Linked DNA regions of Ovis aries. The protein of the gene in region 4 interacts with the protein of the main gene of each other region in a pairwise test. Links are inferred from orthologs where the notes say so. Each region holds a gene or a part of one and is shown on either strand. Other genes may lie near its edges.

Region 1 (4,755 bases), on a different chromosome or scaffold from region 4:
AAGGGAAGGTTGAAGGAGAAACTGGAGTCAGATAAATGGAGAGGGATCTGGAACTCATGGGGTGCAAGTCTGTTCACGGGGCGGGGCAGAATTTAGAAAGGCATGGCGACAAGTATAAAGCCTGGAGGGACGGTTGGGGGCTGTTTGTGCAAGGACTTCAAACGCCAAGGTAAGGACTTTGGGTTGTATCCTCCTTAACTGTATGTTGAGCGCCAGTTCACCATTCAGCCTGTCTGTGCAATTCTCACAGGAAACCCATGGGAAGGTGGCCTTATTCTCCCCATTTTGCAGCTAAGCACACGACAGACTTTTTGAACAGGTGAACCACGGGAGAAAATTCCTTTAAATCCTGTGTATATTCAATAGTTAGTGCTCAGTCTCTGTCTTTGGGACCCCATGGTCTGGAGCCCATCAGGCTCCTCTGTCCGTGGAATTCTCCAGGCAAGAATACTGGGGTGGGTTGCTATTTCCTTCTCCAGGGGATCTTCCCGACTCAGGGATCGAACCTGCGCCTTCCGCGTCTCCTGCACTGCAGGCGGACTCGTGTATATTCAGTAACAGCAACTAACTGTGCCCTAACAACAACTAGGTGACAAAAAATTGCACAAGTAGGGCAGGTGCAGAACCCCGACGTCGGTACGGTGTAGGTGTAGTGTTATTCACGGTCGCCTCTTTCGGCGGCAAGCCGAGCTCCAGCATCTCTAAAAGCCAGAGGTCGACCCCTCAGCCTGCCCCGTGTCGCCCGCTTCGTGCCATTTCCGCAGGTCTCGGGTGGGGAAGGGGAGGCCCAGGACCCAGCTTGCTGAACGAGGAAACATCCAGACGCAGACTCCATGAACTACCCCGTTTCTAGCCAAGATTGCTGGCCCTGAAGCTTCCCTGTGCAGAAACTGCTCAACATGCTACTGAAAAGGGGTTTCAGAGGCCGCCATTTCTCTCTGGCCATTCCCAAGCCCATATCGTTGCGGCCCTATATTGCCCATGGACCTCCGCAACTCAGTCTTTCCCCTTCTTTTGTGCAGGTTAGGCAAAGCCTTGCTGTCCCTCACTCCGACAACAACTTAAAATCAAATCTAGGAAGTAAAAACGCCGCCGCCCCCGGGGATGGGGGTGGGGCAGGGGGTTAGGGGTGGGGGAGGGGAGGAGGCCACCGCCCCGCCCCCGCCCCTCGGCTCCTCCAACGCCTCGGAACTACCAATCCCAGCGTGCCCCGGGGCGGCGCGGGCGCAGGGGCGCGTGCGCGGCGGGCAGCCGTTGGCTGGAGCAGCAGTTGGGCCGGTCGCGGTGCTGGGCGGTCTGCGGGCGCTGGCAAATCGGGCCCAGGATGTAGAGTTGGCGGTGCCTGACGGCGCGTCTGACGCGGAGCTGGGTGGGGTAGAGAGTAGGGGGCGGTAGTCAGGGGTGGTGGGAGAAGGAGGAGGCGGCGGCGGTGAATCTTTTATAAATGGCGCCGAAGCAGGACCCGAAGCCTAAATTCCAGGAGGGTGAGTTTGATCCCCTGGGGACAAAGCATCTAACGGCCCGGAGAGGGAGGCGGTCTCGGGACGGTTGAGATTTGGGGACTGGGGATGGCGAGGGCCGTGTCCCCAGGCGGCGGCGGGCAGGGCTTTGTGCGGAGAAAGCGCATTGCGGCGAGGTTTTTCTGTGCTTCGTGAGGATAAAAACACTTTGGGAGGCGAAAGCGTTAGGCAGGCGTTAGAAGGCGAGAGGGAGCCGTTGCCTCGTGGCACAGCCTTGGTGCTGTGTTTGTTGTCGTTGAGAGGAAGAGGGCGCGGAGAAAGTAGCCTATTGTAGGGAGGCGGCGGGCGCGCCATGGCGGCCGTTAGGGGAAGTGATGTGGCGTGGGGGAGGGGAGGCGGCGGCGGCCGTTTCGGGCTCCCGTCCGCGTGGGCGTCCGAGGGTTGGCGCTCCGCGGCGACCTCCAGCCGCGAGCGGATAGCTCGCGGTGGAGCCGCGGAGCCGCGGCTGGAGGGGGTTGGCTTCGCTTCTCGGGGCGGGAGAACTGCGTTGTAAGATGGCCGCTGCAAGATGGCGGGCCCATCATGGCCGCCGGCGCCTGGATCCACGGCTCGCGGCCGCAGACGCCGCTTTAGGGCAGAGGAGCGCCCCCTTCTTCCCCCGCCGCAGATCGGGAACCGGTTTTTCGGCGCTGGCCCCGGGGATGTGGGTGGGGACAGGAGGGAAAAGCGCGAGCGTTCACTCGGCTTTGTGTCGCCCGAAGGCATCCCTTTGCTCTCGGAAAAGCGGAGTGTTGGTGTCCTATGGGAACGTGAACGCGCTCTGGCTGCGCGGTGGCTTGTAAAGCAGTAATGAAAAACTGCTTTAATGCGGTGTTACTACCTCATTTATGTGAAGTCCCGTTGTCTTGATGTCAGCCTTTTAAGTACGGCAGTGGTTTGGTTAATTGCAATAATTGATTAACAGTGATTTGAAAGTTGAGTTTTTATTGTCTCTGATCAACGTGAAGGCTGACTGTAGAGAGCCTGATTTCCAGAGGAAGACAGCTCTGTAATTTTCACTATTACTGCATCTGTTAATTTATATAGTGGAGGTTTAACAGTAAACTGAAGTGGATATAAAATTATGTAAGGCAAGCAAGAACACTTTAAAATGCTCATTCACATTATTGTGGTTGTACGTGTTAGATACCACGGATGTCGAGACGTCTGCAAAAAATTGTAGGGATGTTCAAACTTTGATATGCGTTAGAATTACTTTGAGTCATACACACAAAATCCAAGCGTATTGTAACAATGGAATATTTAAAAGATTGCCGCGGGTGTTTTCCCTGTAACTGGCTCTTAATACCTGCTTTCTCTCACTCTGAGAAGCTACGTGACGACTACTGTGAATTGCTTGCATTGCTTTTAAAAAATCAGATGTTTTAGAGCAAGGATTCTTGATCTAGGGTGTTTATAATTCAGAACACCCCTTGTACTTGGACAGGAAAGAGTTTTTTTTCGATTTTCTAACTAAAATTAAATCTACAGTTATGACTGTAGATTTCCTCCCCCACAGAAAAGCAAAACAAGACCCTCCCACAGTAGTAGTAGCTGTAATGTTTTCACATCCCAGCATTAAAGTTGCAGAAGATACATTCAGATGTATGCTTTTCGTTGTTTCAGAATTGTGGTAGTTTCCTGGATCAGCAGCTAAATGTTTATTGTATCAATTAAGGAGCTCATATAATACCATAACACATGATGTTTTAAGTGTTTTTATAACTGTCTCAATATAGTTCGTTTCTTTTGTAGTACGGTTTTACATGTTTGTAGAAACATTCTGAGAAAAGGCCCAAAGACTTAACCGGACTGAAGGGTCCACTGCACAAAAAAAATTTATCCTCACTGTAGGACATCAAAGGTAAACGACACAGACTTGGAACAGTTAAGGATGGCTTTCTGGAGGAAGTGCTTTAGTTCTAAACTGGAAAGGATGGTAGAGTGAGGGAGGATCCATATGCTGCTGTAGCAGTGAATTGGAGAAGAGGGCGGCAGAGGATGAGTTGGTTAGATAGCATCACAGAGGTAAGTGGACATGAATTTGCGCAAACTCTGGGAGATAGTGAGATAGTGAAGAACAGGGAAGCCTGACGGTGCTGCAGTCCATGGGGTCGCAAAGAGTCAGACACGACCGAGCGACTGAACAGCAAAAGGAGCCAATGTAGCGCTATGGTTTTGAAAGCTACCTGAGTCTTTGCACTTTGCAGACGTGTTTTCTACTCCTGTGTCAAAGTTGGGTTGTATAACCATCTTTTAAGAAATTATTATTTTGGGGATTCCCAGGTGACCCTAGTGATAGAGAATCCATCTGCCAGTGGAGGAGAAGGGGAGAGCTGAGGGTTCTCTGCGTGGGTAGAGATGCGCCCCTGGAGAAGGAAAGGCTCCACTCCAGTGTGTTTGTGGAAAATCTCCATGGACAGAGGAGCCTGGTGGGTTACAGTCCATGGGATTGCAAAGAGTTGGACAAGACTGAGTTATTTAGAAGAGAATATCTTGTAAGGAGAAAGGAATATTCTGTAGGAACTAGCAGAATTATATTAAAACACTGCAGAAGAATTGAGCTAATGTGACGGTAAAAATACGAATGATGGGAAAGTTTTTTTCCGATTCTCTTTTAAACTTGAAAATTTCTGTTGTTAAATAATGGTGCAGCATATGTTACAAGCATTTTTTCAGCACAGTGACTGTTCTGCACTGCACTTGGTTCTTCCACTTGAAGTGTTAAAGCAAAAAGTAAAGAAAACTATTGGGCATCTAACCCGTGTGGTGGGGGGTAGGGTGGGGAGGGGAAGACCTTTTGGCTTGTCAGGAGGGTGGGTGGCTGATGCTGGAATTTGAGTAGTGTTCCTAGTAAGAAAACCAATGAGAGGATGAGGAATTGGAATCTCATCACTGTTGAATTTGACAGCATTGAGCAAAATTAGCTTTACATTTTGAATACTATTAAGGATTAAGGATGGAAAAGTTCAGAAAAAGTGAGACAGTGGTTTGCTCCTTCCCCAATTAACAGTCTTTCCACTTCCAGGAGAAATTAGGCACTTGTTTTGCTGGGTCATATTCCTCAGCTTAATGTATATTTTTTTCAGCGAGATATTAGGGATAGGTAGCTAGAATGGAGGTCAAAGGGCCTTAGCCTCAGTGTGGTTGTCTTTGGTGGCAGCAACCGAAACGAGGGAGACAGTGGTAAGGCTGTTGTCAGGGAGCCTTTAAAGAAAGACTAAAATTAGGCGCACTGGTCTCCCATCTTTGGTGC
Region 2 (4,649 bases), on a different chromosome or scaffold from region 4:
GTTGTGGCATTTGGGATCTTTAGTTTTGTGGCATGTGGGATCCAGTTCCCTGACCAGGGGTAAAACCTGGGTCCCCTGCCTTGGGAGTGCGGAGTCTCAGCCACTGGTCCACCAAAGAAGTCCTGAGCAAGACTTTTTGAGAAAGTGTTTCCTGCCCCCAGGAGCCCCCACGAACTCTTAGACCACTCACCAGTGAGTTCAAACGAGTCGGGGCTCCTGTGGAGCCTGAGAACGGAGACACAAGGTGAGAGGGAATCCCCCTGATGAAGCAGCACTCTCCGCCCCCACACCTCCTCTTAAAACTCTGGCTGCTTGGGGAGCTAAGCTTGTCTCTGCTCTCGTTCCCAGGAGCTGTTGCTGCAGAGGATTAGCTGTTCGGCCTGGTGAGCCAAAGGGGCGGGGGCTCCCAGAGTTTGACCTGGATTCGAGGGGAAGGAAACCCACTCCCCTACACACAGCCTGGAACCTGCCACCCCAGCCACTCCCACCTCTGCTCTGTCCAGTCCAGCCCGGCCGGGGAGAGGCACAGCCCTTCCCTTGGTGGGGGCCCTGAGGACGCTGCCGCCTGGCCTGGCACTGCTTGCGTTTCTGTCCCTCACTGCTGTCTCCCTGTCCCTTGGATCCAAGCAGGTTCTAACTTGCTCTGATAGAAATAACATAAAGCCGTAAGCATCTTGTTAGGGCTGCTGGGTGGGACGTGACTTCCTGAATCTGTCTTCCGTTGAGATAGTCAGGTGGCTGTTGGTTCTCAAAGGCCTTCGGTTGAAATTTTAGCTCCAAATCAAGTGGAACCCACCATTCCTTTTAAGACAGGAAGTCAAACACAATATTGTAAAACAATTATCCTCTAATTTAAAAAAGTACTAAACTTTTTGATGGAAATTAAAAAAAAAAAAAAAGATAAGAAGCAACTCCAGTGTCTCAGGGCGGCAGGGGGATATTCCTCTGAAACCCAGGCCATCACGTTTCAAGATTATTTGGCTTGTGTGACCCAGTTAAATAGCCCTGAGTCCTGTGGGCCTCTGTGGACACCTCACCTTCTGTCCCACGGCTGGCTTGGCTCAGCGAAGCCTGCCCACCTGCGAGGACAGAGGCTCCCGCTTTCCTGATGAGAAGAAAGTGTATCAGAAGGAAGCAGCAACTGGTTGCTGAGCTGTGGAAAATAATTAAACTGGGGAAGAATAAAAACACTTCTTTAAAAAACCAGGTTAGGTATGAATGTGCAGGGCGTGGCCCCTCTGTATAATTAGCTGCTCTGCTGGCTCTGGGAGCCGCCTGCCTCTCCTGCCCGCCCGTTGTGTCAGGCCCTCCTCTTGGCTCCCGGTAGGTGTGTCTCGGGCTCCGTGGCTGCCTGTCTCACTCTTGCAGAGACGCCGCTGCCCGAGAGGTCACCCACCTGAACCCCCAGCGCGTTCAAAGACCAGCCAGGTGAGCCGCGATGGAAGCTGCAGACGCCTCCAGGAGCAACGGGGCCAGCCCTGAAGTCAGGGATGTCCGCAGCCCCCTGAGCCCCAGTGGCAGCCTGGAGAATGGGGTCAAAGCTGAAGACAAAGAGGCTAAGACTGCCAATGGGCACGGCGGGGAGGTGGCCGAGGGCAAGGGCGCAGGCGGCGCCCTGAAGCCGGGCGAAGGCAGGAGCTCCCTGTTCTCCGGCAGCGAGTGGCGGCGGCCCATTATCCAGTTTGTCGAGTCGGTGGATGACAAGGGCTCCAGCTACTTCAGCATGGACTCTGGGGAAGGCAGGAGGTCGCCCTACGCCGGGCTCCAGCTGGGGGCTGCCAAGAAGCCGCCTGTCTCCTTTGCCGAGAAGGGGGAGCCGCGCAGGTCTATGTTCTCGGAGCCTCGGAAGCCCTCGGTGTCCATCCTGGAGCCCGGAGATGTCCGGCGGAACAGCTACCCCCGGGGCGACTCCAGCACCCTCCTGCGCTCCAAGTCGGGCTCCGAGGAGGTCCTGTGCGACTCGTGCATCGGCAACAAGCAGAAGGCCGTCAAGTCCTGCCTGGTGTGCCAGGCCTCCTTCTGCGAGCTGCACCTCAAGCCCCACCTGGAGGGCGCCGCCTTCCGCGACCACCAGCTGCTCGAGCCCATCCGGGACTTCGAGGCCCGCAAGTGCCCCCTGCACGGCAAGACTATGGAGCTCTTCTGCCAGACCGACCAGACCTGTATCTGCTACCTCTGCATGTTCCAGGAGCACAAGAACCACAGCACCGTGACCGTGGAAGAGGCCAAGGCCGAGAAGGAGGTAAGAGCTGGCCGCCCTCGCAGTGCCCTCCCACCGCACCTGCTCCACGGCCGCTCCCAGGGTCTGGGGCTTACCTCTCTGCTGTTCCTGGTTCTTTCAGAAAACAGTCCTTTCCCCTCCTACCCCCAGACTGGGAGTCAGAGATGGTTCCCCTATCCTCTAAGGCCTCAGGAGTCAAGTCATCTCCTAAATGAGCAAAGAGGGGCTCAGCAAAGATGGGGGGCTTGGCCAAGGTCATAGGACAAGTTCAAGTCAGGCCAGGAGATCAGCATTCCTTCCTGGGCTCTCTGCCTGGCTGGGTGCTTCTTCCTTCCTTTCTACTTCGGTGCTAAGTCACTCAGTCGTGTCCAACTCTTTGTGACTCCATGGACTGTAGCCCACCAGGCTCCTCTATCCATGGAATTATCCAGGCAAGAATACTGGAGTGGGTTGCCATTTCCTTCTCCAGGGGATCTTCCCCACGCAAGAGTCAAACCCAGTCTTCTGCCTTGCAGGCAGAATCTTTACTATCAGAGCCACTGGGAAAGCCACCTCTTTCTACTTAATGGAGAGAGAATTCTTCCTAGTTGAGGAGGACTGGCTCGTGGGGATAAGTCATGGGTAAGGAGGAGGGAATTTGGGGACCACGTCAAGGCCCTTTCTCCCCTGACCTCGGAGTTGGTCTCTGTAGGCAGTGGCTCCTTCTTGTTCTGTCTGATCCCCTAGCCAGTCTTGACACTCCCAGCAGCCTCCTTTATCCTTCCCTCAGCTGGACGCTCAGTGCTTTGTGTGTGTGGCCGTTGCCTGTAGGTGGACACTCGTGGCGGTTGGAGTCGGGGGGAGGGGTGTACATGTGTGTGCGTGTGTGTGTTTTCTGTGCACGTGGGTGCTTATGTCTGTGTATGGATGCTTGCATGTGACTGTCTATGTGGCATGTGAGTGTGTTCGCATGTGTTCTGTGTGCGTGATTCTGCCTGTGCTTCTGCGGGGAGGAGCAGAGGCGTGTGGAGGCTTGTGAATGTGGTACGCCTTACTCCTGGAGAGGATGTGCTGGGATAAGGGCTCGTCTGTGGCTGTACAGATACTGGGACTCCTCCCTCTACAACAACACAGCCCCCTGATGTGGTGCGTCCTCCAGCTGGGGTCAGCCATGCTCATTGTCAAGGCAGGGGACTCTGCTTTCTGCACCCCACAGAATGGGGCAGCACAGGCCCCCCTCTGTGCCCAGCCCTCCTGACCTGAAGTCTGTGGGTCACTCTTTCCTATCCATACTCCTGGGCAGGAGAGACGAGTCAGAGATGACAAAAGGCTCAAAGAGCCTTTTCAGGAGCCTCATTTAGCCCAGGAAAGAAAGGTGGTCCTAGTCTCCCTAACTCCCTGACCCCAGCCTGGCTTCAGGCTTCAGACAGGGAGATGGAGCTGGAGCAGGGGCCATGGATCTCCTCCAGGGTCTCACTTAGGGAATCAAAACAGATTGCAGGTAATTATCCTCAACCACCACAACCAAGAAATTGCAGAGCCCCAGGCTGGGTTTTAGGAGACGCAGCTCCAGTTCTAGTTTTTCCTCGAACCAGCTCTAAGACAGTGGACAAGTCCCTTATGTTCTCTCAGCCTTGGTTTCTCTTCACATGAAACTAAGGGACTGGACTAGATTGGAAGTTTTCAAATGACCCCCTGGAGCCTGAAGATTCTTAGGAATATCTCTGAGACCTCAGGGATGAGGAGGGGGGCAAACTGACGCCCAGAAGGCAGGGCTGCAGGCTCCTATCGCTACTGCAAGCAGCTGTGCCATGCTGGCGCTCAGTCATGTCTGAATCTTTGCAACCCTCTGTAAGCAGACTGCCAGGCTCTTCTGTCCATGGGATTTTCCAGCACCTACCCACTCCAGTAGTGTTGCCTGGAGAATCCCATGGAAGCAGAGCCTGGTGGGCTACAGTCCATGGGGTCACAGAAGAGTTGGACACGACTTAGTGACTGAACAGCAACAACTCTTATTTATCTGTTATATGTGTAGGGCTTGGTTCCAAATTTTATTTGAAACCAGGGTATCTCCACTTAAGAAAAGCCTGAGTGCCCCAGAGGACAGGACAGTCTTGGGCAGTTTTCTCTGGCAACACCTGGGACTTGGTGTTCATGCTCTAGGGCTCGTGATGTAGGTCAAGAGGCAGAGCTCAGACGCACAGACCAGTCTGGGGTGCATCCGCCTAGTTACACAGCAGCGGCTGTAAGTAAACATCAACTTGCAGAGGACAGAATGCTAGGCTGGATGGAGAATGAGCAACCTTGCCATCTCCTCTCCACCTTGCATGGGAACACAGACCCAGAGGAAGGAAGGGACATGTCCAGGCTCAGTGCTTAAGGAAGAAGCCCCCTGAGTCCTCTTCCAGTGTTTGAGAGCAACTGGGGGAAGGGGGATGGGATTCAGGAG
Region 3 (4,834 bases), on a different chromosome or scaffold from region 4:
TCCTACGATGATAAGATTTGTCATTTTCTTCTTGTAGATCTGTCCATTTCTGCTCTATATATTTTGAGGCTATATTATTAGATATCTGCAAATTTATGTATATATAACTGAATCACTTTGCTGTACATAAACTAACACAACATTGTAAATCAACTATTTTTCAGTAAAAACAGTTTAAAAGATAACTGCAAATTTAGAATATTGCTCACGAGTGGAAGCTTTTTTGCTCTTCTACATACACATACAATATGTCCTCCACACTTACTGCTTCTTTTCCACTCTCTTCTAATGTTCTATTTTCAGTGTTTCAGCATGCTGATTTGGGGTCGGGGTCAAATCACAAGAGGGTTACGTGCAGCCACAGAACTCGCTGCATGCAAACGCCTGGACGTCCCTTCTGTGGTCATTTGCAGCGTCCATACCTCATGGGCTTCCAACTCTAGCTTTGGCTAAGAATCCAGCCGGTGTCTGTTCCAGTGGTCAAAGCAAATCCTCAGCCAAAACAAAGAGCAGCCTGCAGAAAGGTGAGGGAGTAGGGTGTTTCGCAAGTGTTTACATTCCTGATGGAAGAAATACTTGGTTCAGACTTCAGAGAAGGGGTCTGGATATTGCGCGTTGCGTACCCTAACTTTGTGGTGGTGACAGCAGGTTGTAGGGCCAGGAGTGGGGGGTGGCTGGGGCCTCAGCCTCAGGAAGTAGGGGTTTGGCTGACACTGCACCACGAAGCGACTTAGCATCATCAGCAGCAGCACCACCACCACGCCTGATATTTTAAGGCTAGGCTTCTTTTACAGGCGCTTGGTGTAGCGGCAAGGCGTCATCTGAAGCGCCCAAATCCCAAGTGGGAGACGTTGTTGGGGGTGAGGTGGAGATGAGGCTTGTTTGTGGCTACTGGTGGGCGTTTACACCTTCCGATCCCCACCACTATAAAGCGGAGGAACCCAAGCAGCAAACGTTCGGGTCACACACACCTGCACTCTCAGTCACTGGTGGGTGGACCAGGCTCCACCTTCCTCCAGATTGGTCGACTTCCGTTAGCTTTCAAGTCAGGGTAGAAAGTAACTCACGGCTTCCCATTCTCCGGCTCGCTGGAGAGCCATGTTAGGTCGCGGGATGCAAACGTTACCATTGTCCCGAGACCGCGACACGATAACACGCCCTGCTTTCTTCTGCCGCCGCCACCTCCTCCAAACATATTATTTCAATGAATAAAAAGCCCCACAGCACAAATCGTTTCATTAGTGTAATGTGAGAAGTCTGCATTTAGGGGGTGAAATGCGAAGAAGAGGGACCAGGTGCCCTATTCCCCCGACCAATCCTCTAAACCAGCAAAGACTCAATACTGACTCCCACTATCCAAGGGGCCCCGCGGCGGGCGCCGGTTTTAAGTGATTTTTGGCCCCTCGCGGCCCCTGTAGCGTCCCTAGTTACCGGGCCCCTAGTAACCACCACCCTAAGCAAAGAGCAATCGGGCGCCTGCGGCCACGCCGGCTTCCCCGCCCCGGGCCAGCGCGGGCGCTCAGGCCTCGGCGGCGCGGTGATGGCTGCTTCGCACCGAGCGGCGAAGTTGGCGGCCAGAAGTCTCCAAACCCCGGTCAATCCCAACACCGGAGCGCGGGTCGCCCAGTACGAACGCAAAGACCCTTTGAATTCCCTGTCGGCGGCGGCGGCGGCCATGGAGGAAGAGGAGGAAGAAGAAGAAGAGAAAGAGGCGGCGGCACGGCTGGCGCGGGCGCCGGTAATGCAGGGGAGGGCAGTGGGGTGGGGCTGGGCGCCGGGTGCAATTGGAGGCTGATCGGCGACCCCCGGTGGTGAGGCGCGGGCTGGGAAATGCGAACCCTGTCCTGACCCGTACAGGTGAGCCTGGCCCACCAAGTCCTCTGGGTCCTCACGGAAAATGCTCGAAACCGAGGCGTTGAAAAGTCTTTTAACCAAAGAGGTTGTTGTAAAAATTTCTTGGAGGGCATTTACGTTACGCTATTTCTAATGAAAAGTACAGAAATTTATTCTTATGCTCCAGCAACTGTTGGGAGTAGGTATTTTCTTTTCTTTTCTTTTTTTTTCTTTTTCCTTTCAACTCGAGGAAAACTGTGCTGTCCTACAGAGAATAATCCAAAAAACGCAAGTGAATCAGCTGTGTTGTCAGGTGTGTTTTGTTGTCACTTCAATGTCTTGGTTATTAGTGCGTCTTAATACAATACATGAGAGATGATGGTTAAAACCAGCAGGAGTTTAGTGGGGAGATCAGAAACAGAGTTAAGCCTCCAGAGAAGCAAATTACTGAGGCTCCAGTGTTGCCACACGGCTCTTCAGAGTGAGGAGAAACAGCTTTTTCACAGATCGATTTTCAGTGTCGAGTGTTTTGTGAACACCTGTCTGCCAGGTAGGGGGCCAAGTCTGCCATCTGCTCTATTCCCTTAAAAGATGAGAACTTTGAATTTTAACCAGCAATCTGCAGGTATAAACCTTCTTAACCCCAGGTAAAGATTCTTTTGTTATTTTTAATATTTATTTATTTGGCTGTGCTGAGACTCAGTTGCCTCCATGCAACCTTTGTGTGGATTCTTTAGTTGTGGCATGCAGAATCTACTTCCCTGACCAGGGATGGAACCCAAGGCCCTTGCATTGGGAGTGCAGAGTCTTAACCAGCAGAGAAGTCCCCCCAAATTCTTAATACTGTTTGCTCAAAGCATCTTAGGTTAAAAACATGTAGTCTAGTGAAAGTCACTCAGTCATGTCCAACTCTTTGCAACCCCCATGGACTATACAGTCCATGGAATTCTCCAGGCCAGAATACTGGAGTGGACAGCCTTTCCCTTCTCCAGGGGATCTTGTGGTCTAAGGCTATTAGAAATCACTGGATATTTTGGAATTCTAATTTCTTTAATCTGCACTAGAAATGGTAATGAGAAAATCTGTAGTAACACCTTTTATGGGCAGTATTTTACCAACAGATAAACTGCTTGAGGTTATCCAGAGTAAAGCAGATTCAAAGACCCTGAACTTCAACCAGAATGAGTGACCTACAACCAAATTCATTCATGATAAAGCTTCAAATTTCAATACCCAATGAAGGAGGTGGACTGATGTTGAAAAATGATTTGAATGAAGAGAAGAATTTGGAGTCCTGGGTTAGGATCTGTTCATTTGCTAGTTAATATTAAGATGTAACTTCTTTCAGTTTGTTTCCTTATCTATAAAAGAGCTCTAAAATAACTGTCTTTCTTTTCTCACTGGGGTATTATGAGAACGAAATAAGAGCATATGTCATAGCTAAAAGACAGTTTGTATAAATTAGTAATAATAATAACAGCTGCCAGTGGGGCTGTTATTTGAACACCTATCCAAAAGAGAACAGGAGATTAAGTTCTCTTCTGGCTTGCTGTAGTGGAAAAGTCAGTCATTTCTGTGGTTGCAAGTATACTTCCAGAGTACCCTGTAAAATTGCAAATTTGTATTAGAAATATTACCTTAGGAGAGATCAGTTTATCTAATAAGCTAGTTTCTAAGGGACAGTGTCTCACTAAAAAAGAAAAAAGGAAGCTAAGTTTAACGCTATTCTGAGACCACAGTACTTAAAGGAACCAAAAGGAAATCTGGATCAGCTGCCACTGTAGTAGTGGTAAAGAACCCCCTGCCTGCCAGTGCAAGAGATGTAAGAGACGTGGATTTGATCCCTGAGTCAGGAAGATCCCTTGAAGAAGGGAATGGAACCCATTCCAGTATCCTCGCCAGGAAAATCCCATGGACAGAGGAGCCTGGCAGGCTACAGTCCATAGGGTCGAAGAGTCTGACACGACTGAAGTGACTTAGCGTGCAGCACATAGCAGTAGACCTGATGGAGACACTGGGGTGGGCAGACAAAGCACTGGAAAGGCAAGAAAGAAAGTGCAGCAGACAAGCTTTACCTTCCTCACAGTTTGGCTTGATATCTCACCTTGATTTTTAAACGCTAGTTTCTCTCAACTTTGTCGTCTATAAAATGGAGTTAACTCAGCTTACCATAGCCATCACACAAAATTGATTATGTAGAACTAACTGTCATAGTTCGGTTCAGTTGCTCAGTCATGTCTGACTCTTTCCAACCCATGGACTGCAGCGCACCAGGCCTCCCTGACCATCACCAACTCCCGTAGTCTACCCAAACTCATGTCCATTGAGTTGGTGATGCCATCCAACCATCCCATCCTCTGTCATCCCCTTCTCCCCCCACCTTCAATCTTTCCCAGCATCAGGGTCTTTTCAAGTAAGTCAGTTCTTCACATCAGGTGGCCAGAGTATTGGAATTTCAACATCAGTCCTTCCAATGAACACTCAGGACTGATCTCCTCTAGGTTGGACTGGTTGGATCTCCTTGCAGTCCAAGGAACTTTCAAAAGTCTTCACCAACACCACAGTTCAAAAGCATAAATTCTTCGGCACTCGGCTTTCTTTATAGTCCAATTCTCACATCCATACATGACTACTGGAAAAACCATAGTCTTGACTAGATGGACCTTTGTTGGCTAAGTAGTGTCTCTGCTTTTTAATATGCTGTCTAGGTTGGTCATAACTTTCCTTCCAAGGAGTAAGCGTCTTTTAATTTCTTGGCGGCAGTCACCATCTACAGTGATTTTGGAGCCCCAAAATAAAGTCTGCCACTGTTTCCACTGTTTCCCCATCTACTGTCATAGTAGGCCCCTTTAAATCCTTTGGCTTGCCAAAGGCACTTCTCCCAAGCCTCCATGGCTCCATATACACCCCTTGCAGGACTCTGTGCCCATATAAGGGCATTAAGGCATATTTTTTGAATCTAGCCTCAGTTGGAGATATCAGTTCACAGGTCTTGCTTTGT
Region 4 (5,364 bases):
CTCATTGTGGATTCAGGCTCAGCATACTCTTATCTGCTCCCCACCCACTTCCATTTCCCTCTCTTGTACCCTCTCCAGGTTTCTCTTATGTTAGTGTGTGTTAGAACTCGGTTTCTTGTTTAAAAATGCAGTCCCTAGGCCCTACTCTTCCCCGAATCCTGACACATGGGCATTTCTGATTCTGGAGGTTTCAGGAGAGGTTGCAGGACTCCTTGTTTTTAAGAAACTCTGAAGGAGATCGTAAAATAACTTATGCAGAAAGAGACCATGTCAGAAATATTGCTAAATGATAACACTTTCCCATGTCACTTCCTCAGATATTCTAAAGTCCGTTTCCCTTTAGATTTGCCTGCAAGAGTAGTGAGAATGCAAGATGTTCGAAGGGGGCTGGGGAGAAGCCTTTTGTTAAGGGGGGTATTTGATGGGGGGGGGGGGGTCCTGCTTCCTGGAAGCAAGGCTGCCTTTTCAAGCATTCCTTATCAACCTAAGAGGGAGGTCTGGAACCCTGTGGAATGGTTTGGGGTCTCTGGTCTGTTGTGTGTGAGAACTGTGACTACAATTGTTTCCTGAAACAGACCCTGGAACAAAGCTGTTCTCTAGGGGGAGGGAAGGGGGACCTCCTCCAGGGCCTCCCTTCTTGGGGGTCTCTCCCAGACTGGCTGGAGCCAGTCCTCCTAATCCTGCAGTAATCATTCCCAGCCGCTGGCTGGTCTAGGCCTCATCCAGGGTCTATAACGTTAAACGTCAGCCATGCCTTCCAGATGCACACTACCAGGTCAGTCCTACCTGTAAGGATGTGGGTTCCACATTCTGGTCTTCTGTGCTCAGGAAATCTTTCAGGGATTTCCAAAAGGAGACTTTTATGAGGTCTATGAATTGGGGATAGAGGGATAGATACACACTTGCCTGTCTTGCCCCACCCTTCTAGCAGACAGCCTACACAGCAAACCAGAATGGTAGGGAGGAGGGGAAGCTAATGATCCCCCAGCCCCACCCCTACACACACACACACATTCCATTACACACCTGTCTTAAACCCCTCACGTGAAAATTAGCCCAAAGTATTTCAAGAGCCCCTGGAGCCCAAAAAGTAGCAGTTAATCCCTGGGTCCTATGTAAGGTCCCTAGGAGTCACTGTTTCTATACCCCACCTAAGAGGATTGAGGCAAACTGCCTGGGCTAGAACCAGTACTCGGCCTGTGCCCAACTGGAATCTTCCTGAGAGCTGAGGGAGAGCCTGGCCCAGTAGAATCCAGCTGGATCTGCAGGCTTGTCCTCAGATTCTCTAACCCCCTTGCCTGTAAGGGGGCAGCTTTGGTCCTCCATCCCTTCACTGGGGATGGGTCTCAGAAGAGACTCAACTCAAAGGGCTCCTGCTGCCCAAGTACTCAGGCTGCAGATATGACCCAAATACCTGTAGACATCACGGTCTGCCCTCCCACAGGCTGCCTTGGGTGCCATGGAGGGAGGGACCCTTTGGTGCAATACAGGTCAACTTCCTGTTTGTGCCTGTGGGTGGAACTTTATAAGTCTAAGAGAAGCCTGACTACACTCTGGTGGGGGGCGGGGGGCAAAACTGGCAAGCCTGCTCACCGGGCAGACACCTACTCCAGGGGAGGGGGAGGTGTTGGTTCTGCTTGAGCAGCCCCAACCTCAGAGGTGTGTGAGGAAGGGTGGGGTCTGTTTCGGTGAAATCCGAGCCTTCTTCGTCTGCTTCCCAGGGGTTTTCCCTGTGTCTGGGGAGTGGGCTGAGAGTGGACCAGGCTGGGCTCCCTACAGACCAGAGGATAGTGGCAGTAAAGCCCTATAGCCAACTTGGTTAGGGCAGCCAGGTAGCTTAGCTTAGCTGTGGCGCCGCTGGCCCCTTCCTAGATCGAAAGCCAGTTCCAGAAGCTGCGAAGTCAGAAGTCCGAGGGGCAGTCTTGGGCCACCGTCGCAACACTGCTTGGCAGGGTACCAGATCTGCTGCTGAGGGGGTGCTGGGCAGACCACTCCCCTGCCTTGGTCGGGGGCGCGGCCTCAGCCGCCCCGCCCCCTCCACCAAGCCCGGGCCGAGCGCGCTGGGGAGCCGGCGGATCTGCGACCAGGAGGTGCCGGCCCTGGGTCAGGAGCCCAGCGGGAGCTGGAACGGCGGTTAAGGTAGCGCTGGGTGAGTGAGTGGGGGCGCCGCGGCGGTGTAGGAACTCTCGCCTCCTGCACACCCCCGCCCCGGAGTGAAATTTCCCGATCCCGGGAAGCCGGGGATTGGGGTGAAGAGACGGGTCCTCAGTCCAGGGGCCGCGGGCGAAGAGTCTGAACAGGGAACCTACACGAAAACTCACACCGACGGGCGCACACACGCGTGCACACAGACCCACGCGCGTACTGGAGACACCTGAATACACGTGCACTGCGGGGCGGACGCGCCTAGTGAGTTTCGCTTGCTGTTGGCGGATCAGCGCCGCTGGCCCGCGCGGACCCCCAGCGGGCAGGGTGTGCTGCCGTCGCGTACTTGGTGAGGGTGGGAGAAAAGGGCCTCCCAGTGACCGCGGACGGGGGCGGGCCAGGTGGGACGCCTCCGGAGGTTCCGGCTTCCTTGCTGCCCGCAGGTGAAGACTAAGACGTAAACAGGCGTTGAGCACGTGATCGCTTCGCAGACCCGTGGGCTGTACGGGGGGAGCCTCGCGGCGGGAACCTCCCTCCGCAGTACTAAGCGAGTTTGAAAGATACATTGCCGGGCTGTATTCCATTCTCCCCTTGGAGGGGATAAGCCCTTCCCCAGGAATGGGAGCACAACGCCCCCCGGAGTTGGGGTAGCGAAGGAGGACAACAGACTGTTGGACTGAGAGGGTTGGTTACCTGGGCTCCTCACCTTCCTTCTCCGGAACATGTTGCCCCCATTCCTGAAGATACCCGAGAGGGGGGCAATTCTGGCAGTGTACAGCAGCCTCCGCCGGGACCTCCAGCCCCGGGGAGCATCTGCGCGAACGCCTGTGGGTCCCCTTTCTTACTACACTCCTCCTTGCGGCACTGGGAGCTCCTCCCCTCAAAGTAGGAGCAGAAAGCCCACTCACGCAAGAGTAGGAGTCCCCCTTCCCCAGAGAATGCATGACCGTACACATCCTCTCTATACCAGAGTGGGCCCGTCTCCCTCTGGTAGAAGGGAGCACGGCCCCCTCCCCCCAGCGAATGAGAGTGGGCAGCGGCCCTCGGCCTCCCTCTCCACCACCCTCCCTACCCCTCCACACACGCTGAGCCCAGCTGCTGCCTGAGCTTCTGGGCAGGCTGCCAGAAAGGGGAGGAGGCTCCTGGTGCCCCAGGAGGCTGGGATCAGGGCAAGGCCAGAAGAGGGGGTCTCTATGGGGGTGGGGCTCAGTCTGTACTTGTGAGGCAAGAGGGTCTAGGGTGAGCCTGAGGGTGGCTGGGCTATGTTTCCCTTTCCAGGGAAAAAGAAAGAAAACAACTCTTTCCATGGAGCTAAAAATAGAACTGAGAGCCGGCCAGGCTGCGGCCTGGAAGGGGGGGGCGGGGCGGGGGGAATGCTCCTTCCTGGGGCAGAGGAGCTCTGGCAGGCCTTAGTTCTGGGGGGCGGGGTTAGGGGGCAGGAGGCTGTCCTTGCCCAGGGATGCGGGCATCAGCTGACCTGGTTAGGTCACAGAAACCCCTATGGGAAAGTCTGTGTGATAAAATGTTTGTGAAATACGACGTGTATGTTTAAAAAGTTGTCTTTGTGACTGTGAAAAAGACTGTCATAGTGTGAAAAAAGCTTGGGAGGCAAGTATAGTCAAGACTGTGACTGGGTGCAAAGGAACTTGAGCTGTGAAAGCTTGTGCACAACTAGCCGTGATACCAAGTGTGTATCTCTGAGTTGGCCTGATTATGGCAAGAAGGGACATGGATCCTTCTGATGGACCAGACAGACTGAGTGATTGTGTCTGAGACTGAGTGTGGGAAAGGTCGTGTGGGTGTTTAGATTGTGTTGTTTGCCAGAGGGTGAGAGTATTCTTGACCCTGAGAAGACAGTGGAACGTTGTCTGCTGTGAGGCTGGCGTAAGCTTGGCCTGTAGGTTTGGACCAGCTCCCCCACTGGGGTGACTTTTGGGGGCCCAGGGGACGTCTCTCTCTTGAGCATTTACCTCTTAGCAAATGAGTCTGAGGGAAGGTTGGGGAGCAAAGAACCGCGCTCGAGGAAGGCCGGGGCTCTCCCGAGAGGGAGTACAGCACTGGGGAGAAGGGTAGGGGCCCCCCAAGTTTGGGGGTGGCTGTGTTCTCCGAACGGGCCGCCAGGTGGCGCCGCCTCCGCAAATCCTAGCGTGCCTTCTGCAAGCGGCTGGGGGTGGGGCAGGCACCCACCAAGCGTCGGCCCCCGACTTGTGCCAGGACGCAGGGCCAAGACTTGGGGGTTAGGTGACCCCCAACCTCCTTCTCTGGACTCTGAAGCCGGAGAGTGTGCCTAGGGGTGAGGCATCGACTAGAGGAGCGGAGGGGGAAGGGCGGCTGCCGCGGCGCCTGGCCCTTTGTGCTCGAACAATGACCAGCTGCCGCTGGCCCCGGGGCCCAAGTAAGGGTAAAGGGTGACCCGCCACCGCCTAGTCCTGAACCGACCGAGCCCCAGACACACAGCCATCGCTCCTCGGAGGGAGGGAATCTGAGTCCTGCTGCGTAGCTCCAGCGTGCGCCCCGCCGGACACGCGTGACGCCGGGTGCCTGCGCGTGTCCGCGCCCCGGGGGCGGGGTCACCCCTCGGACCCTCCCCCGCGCTGCACCGCCCACTTGGGCCGGGCGGGGGCCAGGCCGGGCTGGGGGCGCCGCGGAGGCGGGGCCGGGTCGGACCGGGCCGCTCCGAGTGGCGGCGCGCGGCAGGCTGGAGCCGCGCGGCGCGCCTGTGGAGCGCTGGGGGCGGCCCGGGGCTGAGCATGGAGCGGCGCGGTGGAGGTGAGGGGGGGGCCGGGGCTGGGAGGCGACCTGGGGGCGCCCCCAACTTCTGCGCGGCGGAGGTCCCGTGGGGAGGCGGCATTCCACAGCTGCCCCCACTTTCTGGAAGAGGCGGAAGGAGGGGGGTGAACTCCGGAGGGCGGATTGGGGGCTCCCGGCTTCCTGTCTTGTAATGGAAACTCGTGATCTCAGACTTGATCCCGCTGGATGGTCCTGGAGTTTGGTGAGGGGGAGACTTTCCCGAACTCCTCTGCCCCCGAAACAGGTCTGTGGGAAACTCGGACCTCGGCCAGACCTCCCTCGGGCCCCGGCTGCATCCAGCCCTCAACCGCCCCCGGCCCACCGAGCCGGGCAGTGTGTGCTGTGCCAGAGCGGTTTCCCAAGGATGTTGGGGAGTGCGAGGGGTTCCCGTCTCACAGCCACAAACGCATTTCTCAAAATGGAGCCTCC

The links. The genes of interacting proteins can lie anywhere in the genome.
Region 1: the proteins of LZTS2 (region 4) and MORF4L1 interact in binary tests that used the Homo sapiens proteins (3 or more experiments, as listed by UniProt). The two-hybrid records come from large-scale screens. The link is inferred for Ovis aries from reciprocal best matches to the Homo sapiens genes LZTS2 and MORF4L1.
Region 2: the proteins of LZTS2 (region 4) and TRIM29 interact in binary tests that used the Homo sapiens proteins (3 or more experiments, as listed by UniProt). The two-hybrid records come from large-scale screens. The link is inferred for Ovis aries from reciprocal best matches to the Homo sapiens genes LZTS2 and TRIM29.
Region 3: the proteins of LZTS2 (region 4) and FAM161A interact in binary tests that used the Homo sapiens proteins (3 or more experiments, as listed by UniProt). The two-hybrid records come from large-scale screens. The link is inferred for Ovis aries from reciprocal best matches to the Homo sapiens genes LZTS2 and FAM161A.

The regions. Positions count from the first base shown.
Region 1 is NC_056071.1:22,937,586-22,942,340, forward strand, and holds the start of MORF4L1 (mortality factor 4-like protein 1), read left to right. Parts: upstream 1-1,376; 5' UTR 1,377-1,444; coding exon 1,445-1,484; intron 1,485-4,755. UniProt on the Homo sapiens protein: Component of the NuA4 histone acetyltransferase (HAT) complex which is involved in transcriptional activation of select genes principally by acetylation of nucleosomal histones H4 and H2A.
Region 2 is NC_056068.1:30,424,921-30,429,569, reverse strand, and holds the start of TRIM29 (tripartite motif-containing protein 29), read left to right. Parts: upstream 1-1,270; 5' UTR 1,271-1,438; coding exon 1,439-2,242; intron 2,243-4,649.
Region 3 is NC_056056.1:46,300,783-46,305,616, forward strand, and holds the start of FAM161A (protein FAM161A), read left to right. Parts: upstream 1-1,455; 5' UTR 1,456-1,540; coding exon 1,541-1,738; exon of another isoform or gene 1,739-1,745; intron 1,746-4,834. UniProt on the Homo sapiens protein: Involved in ciliogenesis.
Region 4 is NC_056075.1:21,594,746-21,600,109, forward strand, and holds the start of LZTS2 (leucine zipper putative tumor suppressor 2), read left to right. Parts: upstream 1-2,039; 5' UTR 2,040-2,139; exon of another isoform or gene 2,140-2,409; intron 2,410-2,632; exon of another isoform or gene 2,633-4,438; intron 4,439-4,813; exon of another isoform or gene 4,814-4,914; intron 4,915-5,002; exon of another isoform or gene 5,003-5,179; intron 5,180-5,364. UniProt on the Homo sapiens protein: Negative regulator of katanin-mediated microtubule severing and release from the centrosome. Required for central spindle formation and the completion of cytokinesis.